Astyanax mexicanus: one gene and its partners. The protein of the gene in region 3 purifies or fractionates together with the protein of the main gene of each other region. This does not show direct contact. Links are inferred from orthologs where the notes say so. Each region holds a gene or a part of one and is shown on either strand. Other genes may lie near its edges.

Region 1 (7,352 bases), on a different chromosome or scaffold from region 3:
GAATACAATCAGAATGTGTAACATCAATGAAGAATTACACAGAAATACCATATTTAATACATTGAATCACACTACACTGGTAGAAAGATGGGCAGTATATTTATAAAAAGTCCTAAAGTGGCAAGGTCTTACACCAACTATTGTCCCAACAGAAAGTTTGAGCAAGAGAACCTATTTGATGATACTCAAGAGAGGTAATCAATATCGGTTTCATGCCATCACTGATACAGTAGCTAATACTGTGATAAAACTGAATAGAAAGTAAGCTATCATATATCACAGCTGTCCTTTACATTAAATAAATGGACAATATAAATTCTCAGAAAAGATATGGAATAGAAACTTATTTGCATTTATTTTTAATAGTTTATTTGCATTTATTTTTAATAGTTAAGATTTCCCTTTTCCTATTTTGACTATACATGCTCTTCATTTCCAAGCATTTTTGCACATATATTTTAGGTTAGATTAGAAAAATTAACAAGCCTAGTCACATTCATTAAACTGTGCAACTACAAAGAATAAATTATGCACACTATACAGAAATATAGTCCAGTTATAAAGTCGTCCAAACAATGAAAAGATAATAGACAACTTAACAGCCAATCTCCAAATCAACCAATATAAAATAATAATAACCGGGAGCCGTGGTAGCATTGGTAGCTCTTAGAAATAGAGATAGGGTGTTCTTTAATAGACTTTTTTTGTATTTGGCCTTGCATGGAAATGCAAAAAGATATATATATATATATATATATATATATATATATATATATATATATATATATATATATATATATAATTTTTGTATAAAGTTATCCAAAAGCAGTGTGTAAGACTGGTGGAGGAGAACATGCCAAGATACATTAACACTGTATTTAAAAAACAGGGTTATTCCACTAAATATTGTTTTCTTTGCCTTATTTGAGGTCTGAAAGCTCTGTTATTTCAGTTATTTCTCTTTTTTTTTTTGCAAATGAATGCTCTAAATGACAATTTTTTTGGGGGGAATTTGGGAGAAATGTTTTCTGTAGTTTATAGAATAAAACAACAATGTTCATTTTACACAAACATAAACCTATAAATAACAAAATCAGAGAAACTGATTCAGAAACTGAAGTACTCTCTCAATTTTTCCAGAGCTGTATTTATCCAGCTAGCTAACTAATATTAGCTGCACTTGCCCCCAGTGGCTAGCTGGTAACAATGGATAGGCTGCAGGTTTCGGTAACGCTAGCCGGCTAGCATTGTGTATCAGTCATTAAATGAAAGCACATTTAGCATTAACGCTAGCTAACTAACCTGTGTGTTTGGAGGGTTTTAACCACATTTAGGTAGCAAGCTGAAATGTATACAAGTGAGCTACAAATAAGCTTACAAATGCAATGTATTCTGCTAATATCAGTGCAAGACCACTATAGTTAGCTGGCTAACATTATGACTAACGTTGAATAGCCATAGCTAGCTAGCTTTAGCTCATTCAGACAGGTTGGCCAGCCAGCTGCACAATTCTGCACAGTTCTTCTATTAATAAAAATACGGAAAATCAGATACGGCTTTAAAACAGTTTTGCAGTTCTGCAGTTAAAAAATACAAAAAAAAACCCAACTCCCAGTTTGGTGTGGTTGTGGTTTAGCTCGCTAGCGAGGCTGGAGGTGTTGAAGAATAGCGGTTAGCTAGCTCGCTCTGACCAGGTGTTTTGCCGAGTTGTGCTACATTGTCAAATCGTGCTACCCGAGTGTAACGTTATATTATTTATTTAAAGGTAAAAACACACATACAAAAAATATATTAAAATATATTACAACATGCTCCCAAGCTGAATGAAGTCTAGGTAGAAAATGTGGATAAGCCTAAATCACTGTATAATCAGTGTTAACAGAGTAATAAAGCTGACTGTTAAGATTATTATTATAATCTTACTATGAATTGCCATGATCGATTACATTAAATCGATTAATTACCTTCTGTAACACTCGCGCCAAAAATGCAATATGGTTAAACTTAAGAATAATATTATTGAATAAACAATTTCAAATATTTTTTTGACAAAACGAGTGGCTCAGCGCATGCGCACTGCAAGTAAGAAGCACATATCGGCGGGTAGCACAGAACGGCAGAACACCCGGCCACCACTGTGTCGGCTAGCCGGAGGAAACACCTGCTTCTGAGGATGAGGAAAGATGCTGGAGCAGACCTAACGCTAGCTAATAAAAGCTGAAGCTACCAAACGCTTAAATAAATCAGCGAAAATGGACAGGATATATAATATTTAGCTATAACGTTAGACACATTGAATAAGCATGAACAAATAATCTTGATAGAGTATATCATATTGCTAATACATAATAAGATAGTTAGCTAGGTTAACCTATCTAACTAGCTAGACTGTTTTTGGTGCGTTTAAAATAATCATTAAATTTTTATAGGAAGCTAAATTAGCTAAAAGCAAGCGTGTTCAGCAATAAATCCAAGTGAATGTTAAAAAAAACGTTAAAATCCGAATACAAAGCAGCACAAAACCTAAAAAAAAATATATGAAGACTGCTGTAAGTTACACAAATAACTAGATATAAATAAAATAGAGCGATATAAATACACACATACATACATATAGATAGATAGACAGATATATAACGTTAAATAGATAGATGAAAAAATAACTAGCAAGGCTAGCTAACTAAACAGCTGTATGGCAGGCTAGCTAAGTTACGTTTTACAATGGACCCACAGCTCACAATAAAGCAGAAAACCTTCAGCAGGGGAAAAGTGCAAACCAGCCGCAGCAGCAGAACCCCAGCCCGCCGGGCAGCGCTAATGCATGGTGGAATAAAGCCTATAAAAGCAGTAATCAGCTGTAATATTCACCTGCAGTGTGTGGGATTATGTGTTGATGAGGATGAGGATGGCAGAGGCGGTGAGGATGGAGCGCGAGGTTGTTGTTGTTGTTGGTGGGTTACAGTCGCCAGGACTACGGTGACTATGGCGCTGAATCGCGGGGCAACGGTTGCTATAAAGCGCCGCCTCAACCAAACCCCGAAACCGAGGGACCGGCCGGAAGCGCGAGCGCGAGGGGGGCGGGGCTTATCGGCGCGCGCTGAATAAAAGTTCACAAATTTTTACACTTATTTATCTTTAAATCATCTATAAAACAAAGCAAACGGTCAGAAATTCATGTTTCATTTTTATAAGCTGTCTTTAAGACGTCTCAGACGTTTTCTGAACTAATCATAGACGAGGCTTCCTCTATTCGCTTCATTTTTCCACCGGTTCCACCTTAAACATCCTTCAATGCAATTTAAGGTGGAATTATGAAGATGACAAAAAAAAAAATCAAAGCAAAAGAGGCATAGTTAAAGAATATGCAGGAGAAAAAAAACACTCACTTTATTGACCCACACATATAATACAGATCTTCTAAAGTATCCCTAATATATACGAGTTTTACACGTATTTAGCTTTAAATCATCTATAAAACAAAGCTAACGGACAGAATCCATGTTTAATTTCTATAAGCTACATTTAAGACGTCTCAAACGTTTTCTAGACAAGACTTGCTAATCCACTCATTTTTCACCCGTTCCACCTTAAACAGCGCAGCAGTTACAGTCGGCGTCAGTGCAATTTAAGGTGGAATTGTAAAGATAACAAAAAAAGCGAACCCAAAACCCCAGCGTCTTAAATATGACTACATACTGAACTATTACTTTAGTTAAAATAATATAATATAGTTTTATAGTTATATGTTTTTTTTAGTTTTAGTTTTATAGATTTATTTTATTAAATTCTTCCCTGTAAACAGTTTATGAAGCAAATATTTCTGCAATTAAGGCAATGATTTATGAAATCTGTGGACAATATTATTTCTAATGGTAGCTATATATTTTGAACTTAAAAATAAAGATGAGGTGTTTTTTATTTATTTCTTTATTTTTATAAATTTGACTTCAGAATGATTGGTCTGCATGAAAATGCAAAAAAGCTAAAATAAAAATCAGAAAATGGTAAAATATCAGCTTAATCCCAAATAATAATAATAAAACAACTCAAATCTCTTAGTTTGTATGTTTAATGAGTCTGTATGTTTATAAGTGCTCTTCCTCTGCTTAATTTAATCACTGCTACCTGGAACTGAATTGAACAAATTTAAGAACAATAACATATTTGTTTTAAGTAAAGGAATGCAAAGAAAATAAGAAGATACTCAGCTAAATAATATACTTGCTTCGGTTCTGAGGGGAGTCTAGTTAGATTTAACTGATATCCTAGCTGAACAGTGCAGCACATTTGCTGAAGCACACCCCCTTACATCTGCGGCAATTAAACACTAATCTATGGTCCATGTGGTCGAATAATTCATAACCTTCAGAAAGTATTTATAACATTAAAACTATCGTTTAATATAGAAATATTTTGCTAGCTTAAGTCAATTTATCAGACAACAGGTGAGATATTTTATTCTGATATCCCCAATATCAAAAGAATGTGTAAAATCTCTCTCACAAAAAATCTCACACACAAATAATTCCCAACTGTATGTACAGTATATCATCTTGTATCCAGACAGGAATAAGTTGAACCCAGCAGGTTTCTAGCGCTCCTTTCAATACCGTGTAAAATACTTCTAAAATACATTTGAATCCAACAAATCAGTCTTGGTGCTTTTATCTCAATAAGTGTACCTAAATTATGTACCTATATTATCTTTATCCATTCTAGGCATGACTTCTGCACAATTTGAACACAGTTTTTTAAGAGATCCAAAATTCTGTTTCCTTTAGAAGGGGTCCAAAGAATGGATCTATCTGGGCATTTTAAGCGAGGACACTGGGCTTGTTTTGGCCAGAAGGCGGAAGCCGAACCCCTGTGACACATTCCCACTGATTCTTCATGATTATAGTGCCTCCTTTCCCAAATTACACTGGTAAACCCAACTGGGACACAACATAAAAAATGGACTCCATGGCTACCAGTGATGCTAAACATAGTAATTACAGCTTTTCTGTGCAGTTCCTTCTGCTGGCCTTTTCAGCTCTTGACGATTGACCTTTGCATTTAGATCTGGCTCTACCAGTGTTTTAAAGTATACAGATATAAACAGATGCTGTAGTATTAGATATGAGATGATTATAGCTTTTCTATCTCTTTTCTGTTTCATGTTTGAATGCTCTTCCAGGAAGAAACCCACTGAAAACTCATTATGTAGAAGAGAATATGGCATCTTTTATTACTTTGTTTCTAAAACCAACATAAAAAAATCGATTTTTTTCCAAATGTTCAAAATACTGAGTTTTATCATATTCTGAATACAGCCTTATCCTATTTGGACTGGTTTTACTACGAAGGGAACAGTAATGTAATCTGTCAGTGGCCTAGCTTGCCTATTCATACACAATAAATGATCTGTAATTTCCCAAAATAACCCCAGATGGCCTGGATTAAAGTCTTCAGGGTTAGATATGTTAATGTTGACAGGTTCTTAAAAAAAGAGCTATGAACTTTAAGACATTGCATTTCATTCTTTTCACACTGCATTTAATTGGGTCAGGTTTAATTTAATTTAAAATAATTCATTTTATGTACATTATGTACAATTTTGAGATAATTAAGAAAATAAGTCAAATTTTTTTGAGAAGAGAAATATAAATATTATGTTAAAATTTAAGAAAATAAGTCATTTTATTCAATTATTTCACTATTTTGAGACAGAAGAATTTGAACAAGATAGAAAATAGAAAATCTGGAGATGAAAAAGTGACTAATTTGAGTTTTAAAGTGAACATTTTGTGAAATAACATCACTGTTTTGAGTTGCAAAACTAAGTCAAAATTGTACAACAATTTTAAAAATGTCAGAAATAAAAAAAAAAGCATTTTGAGAGACAGAGCCAACGATTTAAAAAAGTGTATAATTTGAGATTTGGAACCACACAACAGTTTAATAGATCAAAACAAGTGATTATTTTGAGATAATAAGTAAATCTCACTTCCGCAGAAACGATGTGCTTCAGTAAAGCACACAATCACAAATGCTCTGTTTTTTTCACAGGTTGGAATCAGCTTTTATCACATGAAATTTCATATCATACAAAAAGAAAACTTGCAAAATGAACATCATAATCTCTGTGTAAATAATCAAAAACGGTAAAGACAGAACTGCAGTCCATATGTACATAGTTTTTTTTTGTTTTTGAGAATTCACAAACATCCTTGACTTCAGGTTCCAGAGCAGCTGTCTTTAATAAATGTAAGTCTGTGACTGTAAGAGAAGAAGCAAGAAGTCAGTAATGAATCATCAGTACAGACAGGTGATCAGAGGGCAGAGCGAGAGTTACTCCTGGCCGGTGTTTATCCCTCTCTGTAGGTACAGGAGAGCTGACTCGGGCAGCGATCCACCGACCGTATGTGAAGGTAGTTGTCGTCTGACAGCGAAAAGTCCTGATTCTCCAAGGCGTCCTTTGATACACTGTGCTGATCCATTACTGCAAACCCACACACACATACACACACACACACACTGCTTATTAACAGCTGCTCACAGGAGTGTCACAACCATGAATATTTAGCTAACAATTCATTTCCTTATACATTTCTATGATTAAAATAAACTTTTCTTTTTTGCTTACAGTATACTACATTTTATAATACACTCCTAAAATGGCATTACAGGGTGTCATACAACCTATCTGTCATGCTTAAAGACTCCACCTACAGCTCAAATTGGAAAAATGCAACCAAAAAAAAAGGGAGGGGCACTTTTTGGCTGATGTATGGGTTTAGGGGCGGGGCAGGAGAGGATGAAATAATTTAAGTGTGCCTAAAAATGTGAATAATAAGGGTTTAACAGTCCAGAAAATGTACAGTTTGATTCACACCTTGGTATAAACTCTGCGGTTCGGTTTTTCGTTACGGTTGTTGGAAATGAAGAGGCTGGGCATTCTGTATGGCCTCACTTTTATTAACTTCATAATAACAATAAATCTTCATTATAAGCAGGTTTTGTTGTTTGGGATGGAATTTTGCAACAGTGCCATTCCTCAGTGAGTCCTTTAGCACTTTAACTATATATATAAAACTATATAACTTTAACTATGTTTCAACATATGGTGTTGACACCGGTGTGCCCACCTCCTTTAAAGACAATGGTAAAAGACAAAGTTGCATTGTCTAGTATGTGACGGCCTTATTGCATATTCAACAATATAGAATTTATCATAATCCCTGTGCCTACATATATATATATATATATATAATATCATATCACCATTTATCATTTATACAGTACATATACAGCTCTTTTATTGATGCTATAAAGACTATTTATATGTTAAATTAAGTAATAATTATTTTACA
Region 2 (7,367 bases), on a different chromosome or scaffold from region 3:
GCAGTCGATGCCCCAGCATCCAAATCCACTCTGGGATGCACTGCATGAGTCGAAACTAGAGTAAAAATGAGATAAACATGCAAATCATTTAAAAAATAATAGTTGAAGAAGCACAGATATGGGAATAGTGGAACAATGTTGATATGCAATATAGTGTACTAAGTTCCTTTCAGGGCTGTGCAATATTCAGAATTCAAACCAATTCAATAAATGAATATGAATGTTAATTTAATCCACCCTACAGCAGGTTGAACTGAATTTGAATTTGCATTACAAGAAGTGGAATTAAACTCAGCAATTTAGAGACATTTATTTTTATCATATATCAGTGGGAATGTGATACTTTTAACAATGTAAAAGTACAGACATTAACATTAGGCATACAGCCACTTTAATGAACAAGCACAGATGTCTTTTTACATGCATTATTATTTTGCAGATTGCTATAAATACAAAAATTACCCTTTCTGTCCCTCAATTAACTTCATTCACTTTATTGTGTGCCATCAAAATGGCCTAAATGTTTGAACAACTATATTAAATACCTGGATAAAGCAAGGTGTTCTGGGAAATTAAGCATTGTCAATTTCTACAATTTAAAGGTTATTACAATTTTAATAGCCTGTTTTATAGAGTATGATGTAATCATACATTTGTGGCCCATGCAAAAAGATCTGTATGACATTCATGTTGTAATCACATGTCATGTACTGAAAAGCTTTGTTTTTAAATAAACCTGAATTATGTATTATGAATTTCTTTGAATTTCATTTCATTTTAATTCTACTTCCTGCTAAAAAAAATAATTGCACTTCAGCTTCTAGTTTGCAACCTCAAGTGGAATTTAGGGATCATTCTCAATTCAAATAGAGAAATATTGTACAACCATGCTTCCTATTATATTTCATCTGTAATTCACCTGTATTGTATGAGGCCAGTATCCTGTAGTTCTGTGGGAGATACCCAGAGTGGACAGGGCATGCCTTGCATACACATGTGGCTGTGGAACCAACCAGCCAGCACCACCCAGGTCTCCTTCTCCTTTAGAGGTAACTCTACAGGGGATCAAACTCTGCACAAAGACCCCTCGGTGACCATATTCATAATGCAGGGTGCGACTGAAGTGGTCAAGGAAAGCCTAGTGGGGGGGAAAAAAAAGACATATTTTACCCAAAGGAACAATTTATTTTTAAGGGCTATTACACACAGAGTTGGCAGTATATTTTGTATAACTAACTACTTTATAGCTGCAGTCATTGACCGCTTAGGTTTCAAAGTTTTTACTAAAGTTACTGAATGTGCATTCTTTCACAATTTTGTCCCCCTTCTTTATCCCATTAATTAATGCAATGTAATCAACACAGAGAACAGATATCATTTGAGTGGTAGACCATTTTATCACACAAATAATGATACATGTGGGTCGTGGTCATCATGTGAGTGGGTCGTGCTGCTGTGACAGAATCAGACAGACTGGTGCTTGTGAACACAATTTACATTTTTTTGCAAAACATGCTACAGTATGACTGTTTTTAACAGTTAAACACGTGAATATAAACTGAAAATCAACACATTAGGGTCAACATCAAAAAACCAGTGGTCCGAGGAAATCGATATGGACAGAAACGTGTTTCCTAATATTTTGGTGTACCTAATTTCAAATCTAAACCAGTGTTTCTTCATTCTGGTCTTGGAACACCACTGTCCTGTAGGTTAAAGAGTTGATGAGGTGAACTAGATTCTCACCTCTTTAACTTTTAGTAGTTTTTACATTTTTTAGACAATGTTTGAAAAGTCAATCACCCAAAAGCCCCTTTTTCCATACTGTGTTTTCTCAGCCTTCACAATGAATAATACTGCTGCCACTTAGTGTGTCTTTTTTGCTACTCAGTGGGGGTTACCACAGTGACCTCCACCAACTGTGACATCACATACACACCATCTAAATACTGGCAATTTTGTGTACATTTAGGACAGTCAAATAAAACAGGACCGAAAGTCAAACCATAATCCTTAGGAATCTGACTGTTAGAACACATAGTAGTTAATGCATAATAAATCTAGGGGTTAAATTGTGCTTAGGACACTATTGTAAAACATGAACAATTTGATCACTGACCATGGATGCAGAAAGCACAGCCTTCCTTGAAGTGGGCTTGGAACATCCTTCAGATGAGATATTAACCACAGCGCCTCTTTGTCTCTCTGCCATGCCAGGCAGAGCCAGACGGGTCACCAGGGTGGCCGTGGTGACATTATTGTTTAAGATGTGCCAAACGGTGCCTTCAGACAAGTCAAGAAAGTCTCTGAATACATTGTGGGATGAATCCAGACAGTTCACAACAAACCCTATGTCCTTGTCTCCGATGGCATCTTTAATAGGTTTACACACTGAGAGACCATGTGTGAAATCTGCTTCAACCAAAATGGCCTCCACCCCATGGACATCTGAAATAGACTTTGCTACATCATTTACACTGCGGACATCTGGGCTTATCAGGATGATGCACACACCATGTCTGGCCAGTTCCTCAGCATATGCTTTGGCTATGGCCTCTGATGCACCTGCATGAGAATAAAACAGAGCCAACATGAGAATACATCGTTTTTATCATTCAGACTAATGCAGAAGATAAACAGTCAGTAGGTGCAGTGATGGACAGTAACAAAGTAAATGCAATTTTTTACTATCCTTAAGTAGTTAAGTGTATTTGTTTATCTATACTTTCTCCACTACATCACAGAGTCAAATATGCGCAAACAGTATGTGTATGAAAATTTAAAAATTAAACGCAAGCACAACACATATACAGCACAGTACATAGCCACACAGTAAAAGTATATAGTGGAATGTTAGTTTAACAGTGTACATTTTTTTAAACGTACCTAAACCCACATACAAGAAGGGAAATTTGAAATATAGAGATTCAGTATAGTAAAAACCTATTGTAAACTTTTTTTAAGAATGTTATTAGGTTTACAATAAAAAAAAGAATGGTGAATGGTATCTCTAGCTACTTTTTACATGCTGGCCAATCAGTTTGGTCTTGCAGGTCATGTTTTTCATTGTGTTCAACCACCTTGGTCTTGCTGGTCAAGCATCTTGGTTATGTTGGTCCTCCAATTTGGTCTTGCTTGTCAACAGTCTTGGTCATGTTTCGTCAGCCAGCTTAGCCTTGCTGGTGAAGATGCATAAGCCTTTTCTTGTTGGTTAATCACTTTGGTCTTGCAAGTCATGCTGGTCTCCAGGTTGGTCTTGCTGGTCAACAGTCTTGATCATATTGGTCTGGCAGTTTGGTCTTGCTGGTTAAGATGGTCAACAAGATTTTTCTTGCTAGTCAACCACTTTGGTTAGTTTTAGTTTTGGTTTATGCTGATCAACCAGCTGGATCTTGCTGGACAAGCTGATTAATCGGCATGGTCATACTGGTGGTCTAGCTTGGTCGACCATGTTTGAAAACCAGTGAAGCCTTTAAAACACAAAATCTAAAACATCTTCCTGACCAGTTGGAGCAGGCCATGCTGATTTTTTTTTTTGAGCAGGTACATTATTTGTGCACTTTGTCCATCACTAATAGGTGTTAACTGTCACTTGTGTAAACTTACCACTAATGACAGCCCATTTGCCATACTGGTGAACCAGATCTCGGGGGTGAACGAGCCTGGGGATGAAGTGAAGCCGCACCAGGCTGTAACAGTCCCGCACGAGCACAGCAGCTTTGCTCGCTGTGTACAAAGCTCCCACTAATGCCAGGGTCTCCACATAACAGCTACAGGATCTGGCGATTTCTCTGTACAGAAACTGGAAGCTATCAACAGCAGCCATAAGAGGAGAATTACTGATAGCTAACTTTAGCTAACTAATAAGCAAACGAGCCTGTTTAAATCTAATACTGAACAAACCCCACTAAACCGAGCACACAGCCTACCGGGCGAGCTGGGCTCTCTCTCTTTCAGCCTCTATTTAACAGGTGTGAGGTTTTAAACTGACTGTTTACACTGATGAATGATCCAGACTTTTCCTGCACCGTTTCACAGCCTGAACACAACACAAACACACACGCAGAGCCGACAAAAGGTCACGTGACTCTTTCTCAGCCATTCTTTTAAAGGGACCGATAGTTGTTTTTTGTAACAGCACTTTTCGTGTACAAATTATAGTGCAAAAAATTATCTTCGTAAAAATATACATATCATGTTGTTTTTAGAATATTTTGTCGCATAATTATTTTTTTTATATTACAATATTTGTAACATTTGCTATAGTCGGTGGAGCGCACTCTGATTGGTCAGCTTGCTGTTTCTATAGTGACGCCGGTTGTGTGCGGACAGGCTCTCTCTGGCAGTGGTTAGGAGATTAGCTTGTGCTCAAACTCCGCTTTTTCAGCTCCGTTAAAAGATTTTCTACCTTCTAAAGGGTTTTTTTTCACATCTTCTCGGATGAAATGAACCTTGGTCAGGTAGTTTACGCCGTTCCGCGTTCTGTCTGTGTGTTAATTTAGCTTAGCAGCTAGCTAATTCCAAGACACAGCAGACTGTTAATAAAAACCGGTGTTCTGTCGAATATGGCTACCCGTCGATATGTGCTTCTTACTACCAGTGCGCAAGCGCTTATTCGCAAGTTTCGGGTTTCATGTGTTTTTACGGTAATTATGTTATACGTGGGGGCATTAAACAACCGGAGCGTCCTGTCATCATTTGTATTTGTATTATGTGAATGGCAGTTAATAATTAAAGTATAACGCAAGTAATAATACGACCATGAAAAAAAATCAAAACACGTTAAATCACCCGTTTAACTCTTTTAACCGTACCCTGACATATTGATTCAGATTTTCCAAAAATCAAATCGAGACTTTTTAGCGAGCATTTTTAAATATATGGTGCTATTTCTGGTATTTCTATGTTTAAATACACACAAGGGTATCACAGTTTGTCAAGGTAGCACAAATCGACAGAACACCAGTTAGCTAGCGTATCATTATACTTACCCGGCTACTGTTCGCTGCTGTTATGCTTTTTGTAGTCACTGCCTATATATCTATAGTGAAGGACTCAATGACATTGTTAACGTCTCTGGATATTATAACTACTGAACTGTTTAACTAGCTGTGTGTGATAGCTGGCTAGTCAAGAAACCTAGGTTAGCTAGCTGTCTGTTACCTACACTCGCCTGTTATTCACAAACAGCTCCTTCTTAGCTCAAATACCATTATTATTGTTAACTAACTAACGTGCTAAATAACGGCTATTAGAGTTAGCATCACACAAAAAAATGCAGCTCAAGACCAGGATTTTGGAAAGCTTGTCATCCATGCCTTCACACATACTGTTCTGCTAAGCTGACAGTTTATCCAGCTCATCACCAGCACACTAAATAGTGCATTTGATTTTACTTGTTCTTGGTCATGAGAGGTCATGCTGGTTGACAAGTCATGCTGGGTCATGGTGGTTAACCAGTTTGGTTATGCTTGGTCACACTGGTTATCTAACTTAGCTAGTGTGGTCAGGTTAATCATGGTTGTAGGCAAGCTAAACCACCCAACTCAACAAAAATACAGCTAACCAAGCAACCAGCTGGACCAGGTTACAGTAGAGATTAAACCCTTTCTCTTTATCTTGGGTTAGATTCATAAGGTTATGGTTAAGGATGGGAACGACATCCTAATGCCTGGCCACAATTTATTATTATTATTATTATTATTATTATTATTATTATTATTATTATTGTTCACACCCTAAATAAGTCATGGCCACACATTAGGATCTTGTTCCCACACCTTATTAAGCCTTGGCCACTCATCAGGATCTCGTTTCCATCCACGCCTTAATAAGTAAATTTTTCTTTCCATGATGTTATCTTAGGGTCTCTGTAGATTCAAGATGTCTGTCTCTAAAAATTTCTGGTTGGTGAATATTTCCAGGTCCTAAAAGCATCAGTGATGATCTGGATGTTGAGTAATGGTTAGTTAAATTCCTAAATACATAATTTGGTGAAAAACAATACACTACTGCAGCAAAATGAATTAGATTTCATTTGGCAAATTTGTTGTATATACTAAATGTTATGGCACATCCCTAATTCAGATTTTTACCTGATTGTAAGAGAAGTCAATGATCCAACTTGTCATGATACTAATAATGCACTCCATATCCAGGACTAAAGTAAACTAAATTATCCTAAAGAGATATAATCTGTTTCTAATAGATATTTAATGGGAAATCAGAACAGTGTGAATTGTCCTTTTGCTACAAACATCAACAATGTGCCAAACAATGCTGCAGCAATACTGCAGAAGACAAATATCCCATTTAATGATATTGTACTTGTGTCTATAGGAAGTCCTTGGTAGAGAAGGGTGCATCACACCCCCTGTGGAGTGATGTCTCAGTTTTCTGCAGAGGATGAGGCTGAGCTCCAGTGCCTGCTGAGGCAGCTTCTAAAAAGTGTAAAAGAGAGAATATCAGGGGCGCCATCAGTGGAATGTGCAGAGGAAATCTTGCTGCACTTGGAGGAGACGGACAAAAACTTTCACAAGTAGGTTTACACACCTTTACCTTGATCAATACATTTTAGTAATTTAAATTCTGTTTTTCCCTCATGCCCATTTTTTACTCTTAGTTATGAGTTCGTCAAGTACCTGCGACAGTATGTTGAGAGCACACTGGGGGCAGTTATTGAAGAGGAGACGGATAACTGTACCAAAGGTGATGGCCATGTCATTGGATCTGGCCAGGACACCCTGGTCCATGCTGTCACCAGAAGAACAAGGGAATCTGCGCAGTATGTGGCCTGCTTAATAACTAACTGAGCAAATACTTAATATATGATATAACAATGAATGGAAGTTTATAGTCACCAGTTTGGATGCTGTCATGTTTTTTAATTAGTATAGATCTTTATTTAGTCGTTTTAATTGTTCATTATATACCTGCACGTAAATACTTGTTGAAGGATTAAACAAATGTGTTATTGTTCAATAGGTATAAACAGATGATGCAGACATTAAAACAGACCATGATGGTTATTGTGGAATCACTAATCAATAAATTTGAGGAGGATCAGTTGAAGAAGGAGGAGATGCATAGGAAAAGCCAACATGAACAGTCAAGCAGCCACTACACAGACAACTGCTCTGACAGTGACTCTTCCTTTAATCAGGTGATGCACGTTTCCTTTGATGAATGTTCAAATCCCCACTACAATATATAATTTCATAGAACCAACCAGAGCACCAGTAAATTTAGTGGTCATGTAATTCACTGTAACTGCATTGTTTTTGTATTGTAGCATACCTTTACTAAACACTTTATAGTTAAGTGGATACAATATTTAAATATGGATTTGATTTTCTATTATGAATTCT
Region 3 (7,807 bases):
GAATGCCATGTATGGTGAGGTCCTCTTCTCTTGTGATTGGACTCAGTGGGCCACCTTCATTCAGGCTCAACTCCCCATTCAGTGCTGAATCGAGCAGGGCATCCCAGTCAAAGTTGCTCTTGAGGGAGTCTAGATCCTTTGGTTCCTCTATGGCCAGAAATGGCGAGCTAGAGCGGCGCAAGGCTTTGGGACCACCAGTTCTATGCCCATATGGCTGTTTTCTTTTGTGGCCCTTTGCAGGGCCCCAGCAACCAAACATTGTGGCTTCGGCAAGACGAGGGTCCCAGTTCTGGTCAACACCAGTGGCTTCCTCAAACTCTTTCAGGAGCTGCTGGGACTCAGCGCTAACACAGAGTCCTCCTGGGACACTTGTTGGCACAGTTGGTTGTGAGTTCATCCTGAGGTGGTTTTGAAGAGCTGGGTTAATCTGTACCGGAGGTGTCCTCCGCTTCTTATAGGCCCCACTGAGTAGACGCTCAGCATACTGGGGGTCGATCTTCCAGAAACCTCCCTTTCCTGGCTCGTCTTTCTGCCTCGGAACCTTAATGAAGCACTTGTTCAGTGAGAGGTTGTGTCGGATTGAATTCTGCAATAATACATTAAGATAGAAGACAAAAGCACCATAATGTTAGTCTTAGTCTTATAGTTAGTCTTAGTCTTATATGAATAAATGTGCTAATCAATGCATTCAGTATCAGCTTCTCTTCTTTAGAGCAAGAACTGCACACTTGAGATCCATTCTAAAAGGCTTTTGCACATCCTGAACCTCATAAATACCACAATAGACTGGCCAAATACCACAAAGCACTTATATTTAAATGAAGCACTGACCCTTTGACCTTGGTTAAACATTGTTTGTTAAGGTTGCGGGTTAAAATAACTGAAACTGGAGGAAACGTCTCAGTTGTCCTCAGAAAGGCTACAGGGTTAATTAATCATTTACCAACCATTTTCCTTAAAACCACCCTTTTTACTGTAAATAAACTTTATACACATTATATATGTTTATATCAGAAAACATCCCATTCTCTTCTTTTCACTGTCTATCTGTCTATTAGGGTAGGTTAAAACATGTAATTGTAGTCATTTCAGTGTAGTTACATACCCCGTGTGCTGCCATCCCTAACCTCTAGCTCTCATAATTAACTATACTGCTTAGTTGCTAATACTATTTCACTGTGTGGCAGCTATCCAATAATTTCCCAAATACAAAGTCTCAGAATAAAAGAAAACAAGCTCTCTGGAGGGTTCCTGTAGAGGAAAATCATTGTGCTAAGCAGAAGTTGTTTACTCTCCAACACAGAGAGTCCTCCAGGAAGATGTAGAGGGTTTCTCCCTCGAATGTACACTACTCTAACTCTAATGAACATTTAGTTTCATTCTAGTGTGTCAAAATTAAAGGGTCTTATATTTTACTGCTCATACTTTAGAGTTCATGTGTGACATTCATGTGAGATTATGTATGAAAGTAATATTAACTCCATTTTACAAAACCATTTACCTTCTTTCTTTATCCTTGTTTTTGACATTATACCTTCAAGTACTACACATTTAATATCATTAATATCACATTTAAATATCTCTGTTAAAATTTGATTGTAAAGTTTGTTAAGAACGAGATTTAAGGAGCAATAACTCACCTGCCAGGTGGGGTCAGCATGGCGGAAGTAGCAGAAGTTGTCAGTTATCCATTTATAGATGCATGAGAGAGTGATTTTGCTTTTCTTGCTTGCTTGCATGGCCATGCAGATCAGGGTTGCGTATGAGTAAGGTGGCTTAATGTGAGGGTTGGTCTTGTAGTCTACCTCGTCTGGGCAGTGGCCATGTGCCACCAAGCTGGGCAAAGCCGACAGGGAGGGCACCCGGCAAAAGGACGCCGCAATGGGCTTACCTGGGGTCAGCGGCATGCCTATGGATGCAGGGTCGCCTGCTAGAGGAGAGGCAGGGGCTTCTGCTCCCAGCTGCTGCCCAAAGAAAGGGCTGTGGTGCTGGCTGCTGGTAGACACATGTTGCCCTCCACTAGCATTGAGGATAGAGAACTCCTGCAGCCACTGGAGGCTGGTGAGGCTATCATCCAGGTTGTCTGAGCTGGTGCAGTTGCTATAAGCCAAAGAGCTCTCGTCCAGATCTTCGACCTGAGCAGCAGCTGTCACCACCTGCTCCTCCAGCCCCACAGAGCCCTCGGGCCAAGAGTCTGCGCAGCTCATGGACAGCATAGCCCTCTGTTAACCTCTCCCCGCACCTCCCCAGCCAAAACCTGCACAAGGACAAAATAGCAGCGGCAGTCAGTCAGTCCACAGCCTGCTTTAATCATGCATGAGGTAGGATGTCATTGCAAGGATGAGCTGCAACACGCCAAAGCAGCATAGATGAAACTATAAAATAGTAGTATAAGTAGTAGATTATATGGGGGTGGGTGGGTTAGAGCCATTTAGCTGCCAAAAAAGCTCCCCCTTTAAATTCCACAGCTGACTGGCCTTCAGAGAATGTTCCTGAAAAAGGCTCAACTCGCCGTGCCATCTTTCACTGTGGCAGGTGGATTTTACTACACTTAAACAGGGATACTGATACTGTTGGCCATAAATGATCAATTTAACAGACTGGCCTAAATTAGATGTATGACAGAAATAACAGTAACTTTATGAGTATATATATAGATATGCCTTAAATATATATAGAGCCTTATAATATAAACATTAGACAAGCACAAAATACCCCAAGACACCACCTTTACATCACTATAAGAGCTAACAGACACCTGTGATCGTTTCTGTGATATTTATTAATGATGTATTCTTAGTGATGGAGAATGTTAATTATAACAATTCGGAATTTCAAAACAGAAAACCCCTTTTTATAGCAATAAACTCTAATGCCCGAAATCCCACTCATCCTGAAGCTCACCTGTTTTGATTAACTGGAAATTACCGAAAAAATCATCCAAAAGGCCGCAGATGGTGTTTTTATCCGTGTTAGCTTGAGTTAACGACTCGCTGAAATTCCGTGAGATGACGTCGCTGCGCAGTTTCAGGTCTCCGGGGCCCTCTGACCGGGGGGCACTTTAATACCTGCTGCACGAGGGCTGTCCGGTAACCGTTAGCAACGGAACACCCCCTTGTAAACATCTTGCCGTTCTTCCATTGGCTGCGCGGTTGCTATAGGGCTTCATTTTCAATCAACCCCTCTCCGCGGTCTGCTCACCACGCTGGTGAATCCAGAATAAAACACAAAAATGAGGAACAGATAAAACAGAGGATGATTTTATTCCTTTATGCAGCTCTTCTTTATAGAGACTCCATTAATGCTTATAGTTATTATTCTATCTGGAATATTTACTACAAAACATTAGCTAGCTTTTAAAGCATTTAAATTAGCACAAGATAAAAGTCTTCTTTTTTGTATTTTTTACCCTTTAGATAACACAGTGCATAAACCAGCAAAGCCTACACAGCACACACACAAACTGTAGCACAGAGTTTACATCCAATTTTTACTATTTTACAGTAAAATCCTACTCGAGTCACTGCACACCAGCAGAGATCTGACTGATTCATCTTGCTCAATCCTAGCCAGCTAACCAAATGAAAAGTCTTGTCTTTTTATTTCTATACACTTGCTTTTGTGCAGTTCTTCAGAAAGCCACTCAGCCACACTAATGGAGTGTTTAAGAGGCTAACCCGTCTGTGCGGGTCTTTCCCCTTCTTTTTTTTTCTTTTTGGTTCCACTGTCTCACTGAGAACAGCTTGTGCATTCCTTCAAACACCTCGCTCTGAAGTCCTGGATATTCATCCTGTCTTTTCATTTCGATCGCCACTCTGAGAGTAACATCCTTTCCCAGTTTGTTTAATAGCATTTTTTCTTCATCTGAAATGAGTCTCCTGTTGTCACTGAACCTCTTTAGTGAAGAATGTGACAATGAAGGTGAGAGAAAAGGAGCAGCAGACAGTGCTTGGAGTACTTTCACCTCTCGCCTTGTTGTTAGCCATCCGTGAAATGCCCATCAAAACCTTCCCCTGTGTCCGCCTTGTCAGTCTCCTTTTTTCTGCGGTTGCTATAAGTAGACACATATAGTATACTAATTTACTATAAAGCCTCGCTCATGGGATGTTAGATACTGTAAGCATGTCCATTTATAATATTGAGTTTAAAATAGTAGAAACGTTAATTTTCTACAAACTCACATTTTCATAAACTAACACAGCGGCTTGTATTTTCTACATCATTTTTATATAGCAGATACCCTTTACCCTTTATCATGATCTTCAGATTTTACCTTCTACATTAAAGTTTAAACTTTAAAGCTTTGAACTTTAAATATGCCGATTTTGTTACTTTTAATTATTATTTTTTATATTTTGGTGCATTACATTATTTTAAATCAAACATATTTACTTCCATGATCAGAAAGCTAGTTTTTATCAGAAACGCCTACAGCTTTGAAGGAAATTTTCCTCTGCCGCTGTTGGTTTTGGATTGTTCACATGAAGCATGAAGTTGCTATGTGAAAGCATTAGATTAAAATAGACTAGACAGCCACTCTAAATGACTTTTTACAAAATATGATTCTGTAGAATTGTAGAAATATTGCGATACTAATATTGTGGAATATTTAAATAATGATTTGATAATGATGCTTTCATGTGTAATCATTCAGATCTGAAGTCTAGTGTATTTGTGTCAGTATATGAGGCTGAACAGCAGAGGGCGGAAGTGGATAACTTGTGGACGGATCCTGGGCCACATCTGGCATTTTCTAATGGTCCACATACCACTTGAAGTGATGGATTAGAAGTGGGACAAATGTGCTTCTATGGCCCAGATGCAGCACGCATTGATATTTTTCAATCCTTTTGCTTTACATTTGCTGAATGTAAATAAGATTGTTTATGGTACACTACATGTAAATCCCATTATCTGCTTCTATATTCAGGTTAATTTGGTTTCATCTGGCCAAATGGTCTGGTTTTTAGCATTTAAATCTGTTGTTTAACATATGTCTGTTGCTGAGTATGACTTGTGGTTTACAATTTCAATCAACCTTTATTTTGACTGGTAGATTGATTTGTGTAGATTGACCCCCATTTTCAGTGTAATTGAGCATTTACAGTAAACTGAAAGAGATAAAAAGTAGTATTTAATCACCATAGATATGCACAACAGAGGAAAATGAGCAGGCTCAGAACATTTAGAAAAGTATGAAAATTAATTACGACATCTCCTGATTTTAGTCTTTGACAGTGATTTGCCTTGCTTCTTGACCTGGCAGGATGTAGTGAGGAGGGCCTGAGAGTTGAAAGGAGTTCTGCTTCATCTACATTACTTTATAAATATTACGTGGTCTACCAGGTGTTGCTAAGGTCACCGGTGCATTCTATTTTCTACCTTTACAACTAGTTTCTGTTGTTTGATAGATTACTGTTTTACTGTTTCAGCTGAATGGTGGCTTACTTCATTTGCATCAACAACTCGTTAGCTGTCAGATTGAGAGTTTCCCTGCACAGCTTCTAAATGCAAATTCATCACTTGGAATCAACTCCACTCCTTTCATGTCCTTAACCTGTCATTAAACTACTTGTTGTCCAATTACTTTTTGGCTATAGTCTACACTTTTGAATCTACTGCTGTGGTCTGTATCTGACTGTATATTGCGCAGAAACTCCAGCCCTACAGGATCACAACTAAAATACCTAACCATTTTATTTTAGCATTTTATGTACAGCTACAAATATAAATTTACATCAAATTAAGTATAAATAACTCTAACCGTGATAAAGTGTATAAGTACACAGCAAGCTTTGTTAACCGTTAACATCTTGATTGACTAAATTACTAAAGCATATAGAGAAAATATCATTATGTATGAAAGCAGTCCAAAGTCCTCTATACTGACCAGTAATTAAGAAAAGAACAAAAATGTATGTCCTACATAAAATTACATATTACTGTTAAGGATTTGCGGCCTGTGATGATAAATGTGAAACATGTAATGCGTAGGAAGTGTTCTCTGTGTAAATTGAAAATCATTTTGCCATATACTTTGTGCATTTGCTGCTTAATACTGCCATATACTACAGTAAGGCTTGTGTATCTTTACTCTCCAACAGTCAGGGATCCTGTCTAAGTCTTTATATTAAGGAAATATCTTTTTTTATATTGGCCTTAAAGTGAAGAGATCACTCAAAATGATTTGTGTTGTAATTAGATGGTGTTTTTCTTATGTGCTCTTACTGGTCATAGCTGATCAGTCAACTATACAAGAGATTTTAAACATTTTTAAATGTTTTTCCTTCTTCTGAGTGATTTGAGTGGTTACAATATTAATGTTCTTTAAACTATCTGGGATGTCATATCTCCAAAGTGCTACAGCTTTGTTTATATATTTACACATCCAAATAAAACATAATTTACCCAGGGAAGTAAGTAAAAAAAAAAAACGAGTAAGATAACTTTAATACAGTATATGTGAGTACACAGCTGCTGATATTCATTTTATGTAAGTAGAGATTATGAAACTGATTTCACTTATTTTACTTTTTTTTACAGTTATGCTATTGTATATGCCCTACATTTAACTTAATATGCCACCATTCAATACTGAATACAAAGCAAATGCCCAACCCCAATACATTATAGATAACCTTCTCTGTAATAGGCTTTCTCCTACATCCAATCTGAATTATTCAGTTTTACAGCTGGGAAGGCTGACACTCCTGAGCTGGTCTCAAAATACTAGGCCTGTCAACACACTCTCTGATTACACTCTGTTCAACAGAAGTAAGGCACATTTGCACCTGTAGATAATTGGATAAAGGACATATGAAGTAAACCTAAAAAAGCAATATAACTTTATTCTCTGTTTATATAATTATAATGAACAATGGTGGCGTTTTTAATTGTATAAATAAAACTGTACATTGTAGGCCTATTTTAGCTAGAGAGCAACTATAATAGGCAAAACCATCCAATGAGACACTGTTTAGCAATATTTGTTGTTTTTCATTTCCCATTCTGACTTTAACCGTTTAACATCTGCTCAGCTTTTTGTATCTTTGTTTAGAAGGTGTTAAACTTAACCCAACCTGATTGTGCCGTCTCTATCAATCAGCAGAGCTATGCTAGAGTAAAACATTTGCTAGAGTTCACTGTACAGTTCAATAGTATGCCTTTTAAGTTCATCCATAAATCACTTCATTCATGCAGTTTGTTTTTGGTCAAAATTTGGAAGGTCATCAGATATCATTATATATCAGTATATCATCGGTTCAAACAATTTGATTAATGGAATTCATCAATGTTTAAACATTATACACCATAAATAAATATAATAAAAAATGTAATATATAAATGAGAGTTCTGAATTTGCTTCAACATATTGTCTCATTTGGCAGAAGTGCATAATTAAAAAAACTGGGATCTCTTTTGGGTCATTTTTATCACTGCCCTAAACCAGCAATACTCAGACTTTCGCTGGAAACCATCTTTTTGGGTGATAAGTTTCACCAAAATAAAATAAACAAAATATTTCATTGCTATATGCTTGAGGAGGAGGTTAAAGATAAGATAAGTGGGGAAATTTACAATAATACAGCAGCGAAAAGATCAAATAAACATTATATACAATATAAAAAATAAAAAGTAAATAACACTTAGGACTGTATTTACAAATAATTGTAAATTGCCTCTTAGTTGCACAGGGGTAACAGAGAAATATCTTACAAAATCTATATTCTTTGAGTGTGTAGCGGGAGTAAGCTGGAATGCAGTGCAGGATGTAGAGTCGAATAGCAGCAGGAGGAAGCAGCCTGAA

Evidence for each region.
Region 1: the proteins of foxj1a (region 3) and rfx3 purify together in Homo sapiens (affinity purification with mass spectrometry; 3 studies listed by BioGRID and IntAct, counting the BioPlex papers as one, with this or other methods). This does not show direct contact. The link is inferred for Astyanax mexicanus from reciprocal best matches to the Homo sapiens genes FOXJ1 and RFX3.
Region 2: the proteins of foxj1a (region 3) and tbc1d32 purify together in Homo sapiens (affinity purification with mass spectrometry; 3 studies listed by BioGRID and IntAct, counting the BioPlex papers as one, with this or other methods). This does not show direct contact. The link is inferred for Astyanax mexicanus from reciprocal best matches to the Homo sapiens genes FOXJ1 and TBC1D32.

What each region holds. Positions count from the first base shown.
Region 1 is NC_064427.1:3,554,723-3,562,074, forward strand, and holds the start of rfx3 (transcription factor RFX3), read right to left. Parts: upstream 3,006-7,352; 5' UTR 2,869-3,005; intron 1-2,868. Other genes in the region: zinc finger protein GLIS3, read right to left, coding at 6,348-6,481. UniProt on the Homo sapiens protein: Transcription factor required for ciliogenesis and islet cell differentiation during endocrine pancreas development. Essential for the differentiation of nodal monocilia and left-right asymmetry specification during embryogenesis.
Region 2 is NC_064408.1:81,788,939-81,796,305, reverse strand, and holds the start of tbc1d32 (protein broad-minded), read left to right. Parts: upstream 1-4,305; 5' UTR 4,306-4,460; intron 4,461-5,865; exon of another isoform or gene 5,866-5,964; intron 5,965-6,339; 5' UTR 6,340-6,383; coding exon 6,384-6,538; intron 6,539-6,622; coding exon 6,623-6,784; intron 6,785-6,984; coding exon 6,985-7,162; intron 7,163-7,367. Other genes in the region: hsdl1 (inactive hydroxysteroid dehydrogenase-like protein 1), read right to left, coding at 1-55, 920-1,138, 2,120-2,565, 3,607-3,826.
Region 3 is NC_064426.1:11,593,648-11,601,454, reverse strand, and holds the start of foxj1a (forkhead box protein J1-A), read right to left. Parts: upstream 3,088-7,807; 5' UTR 2,905-3,087; intron 2,258-2,904; 5' UTR 2,217-2,257; coding exon 1,641-2,216; intron 587-1,640; coding exon 1-586. UniProt on the Homo sapiens protein: Transcription factor specifically required for the formation of motile cilia. Acts by activating transcription of genes that mediate assembly of motile cilia, such as CFAP157.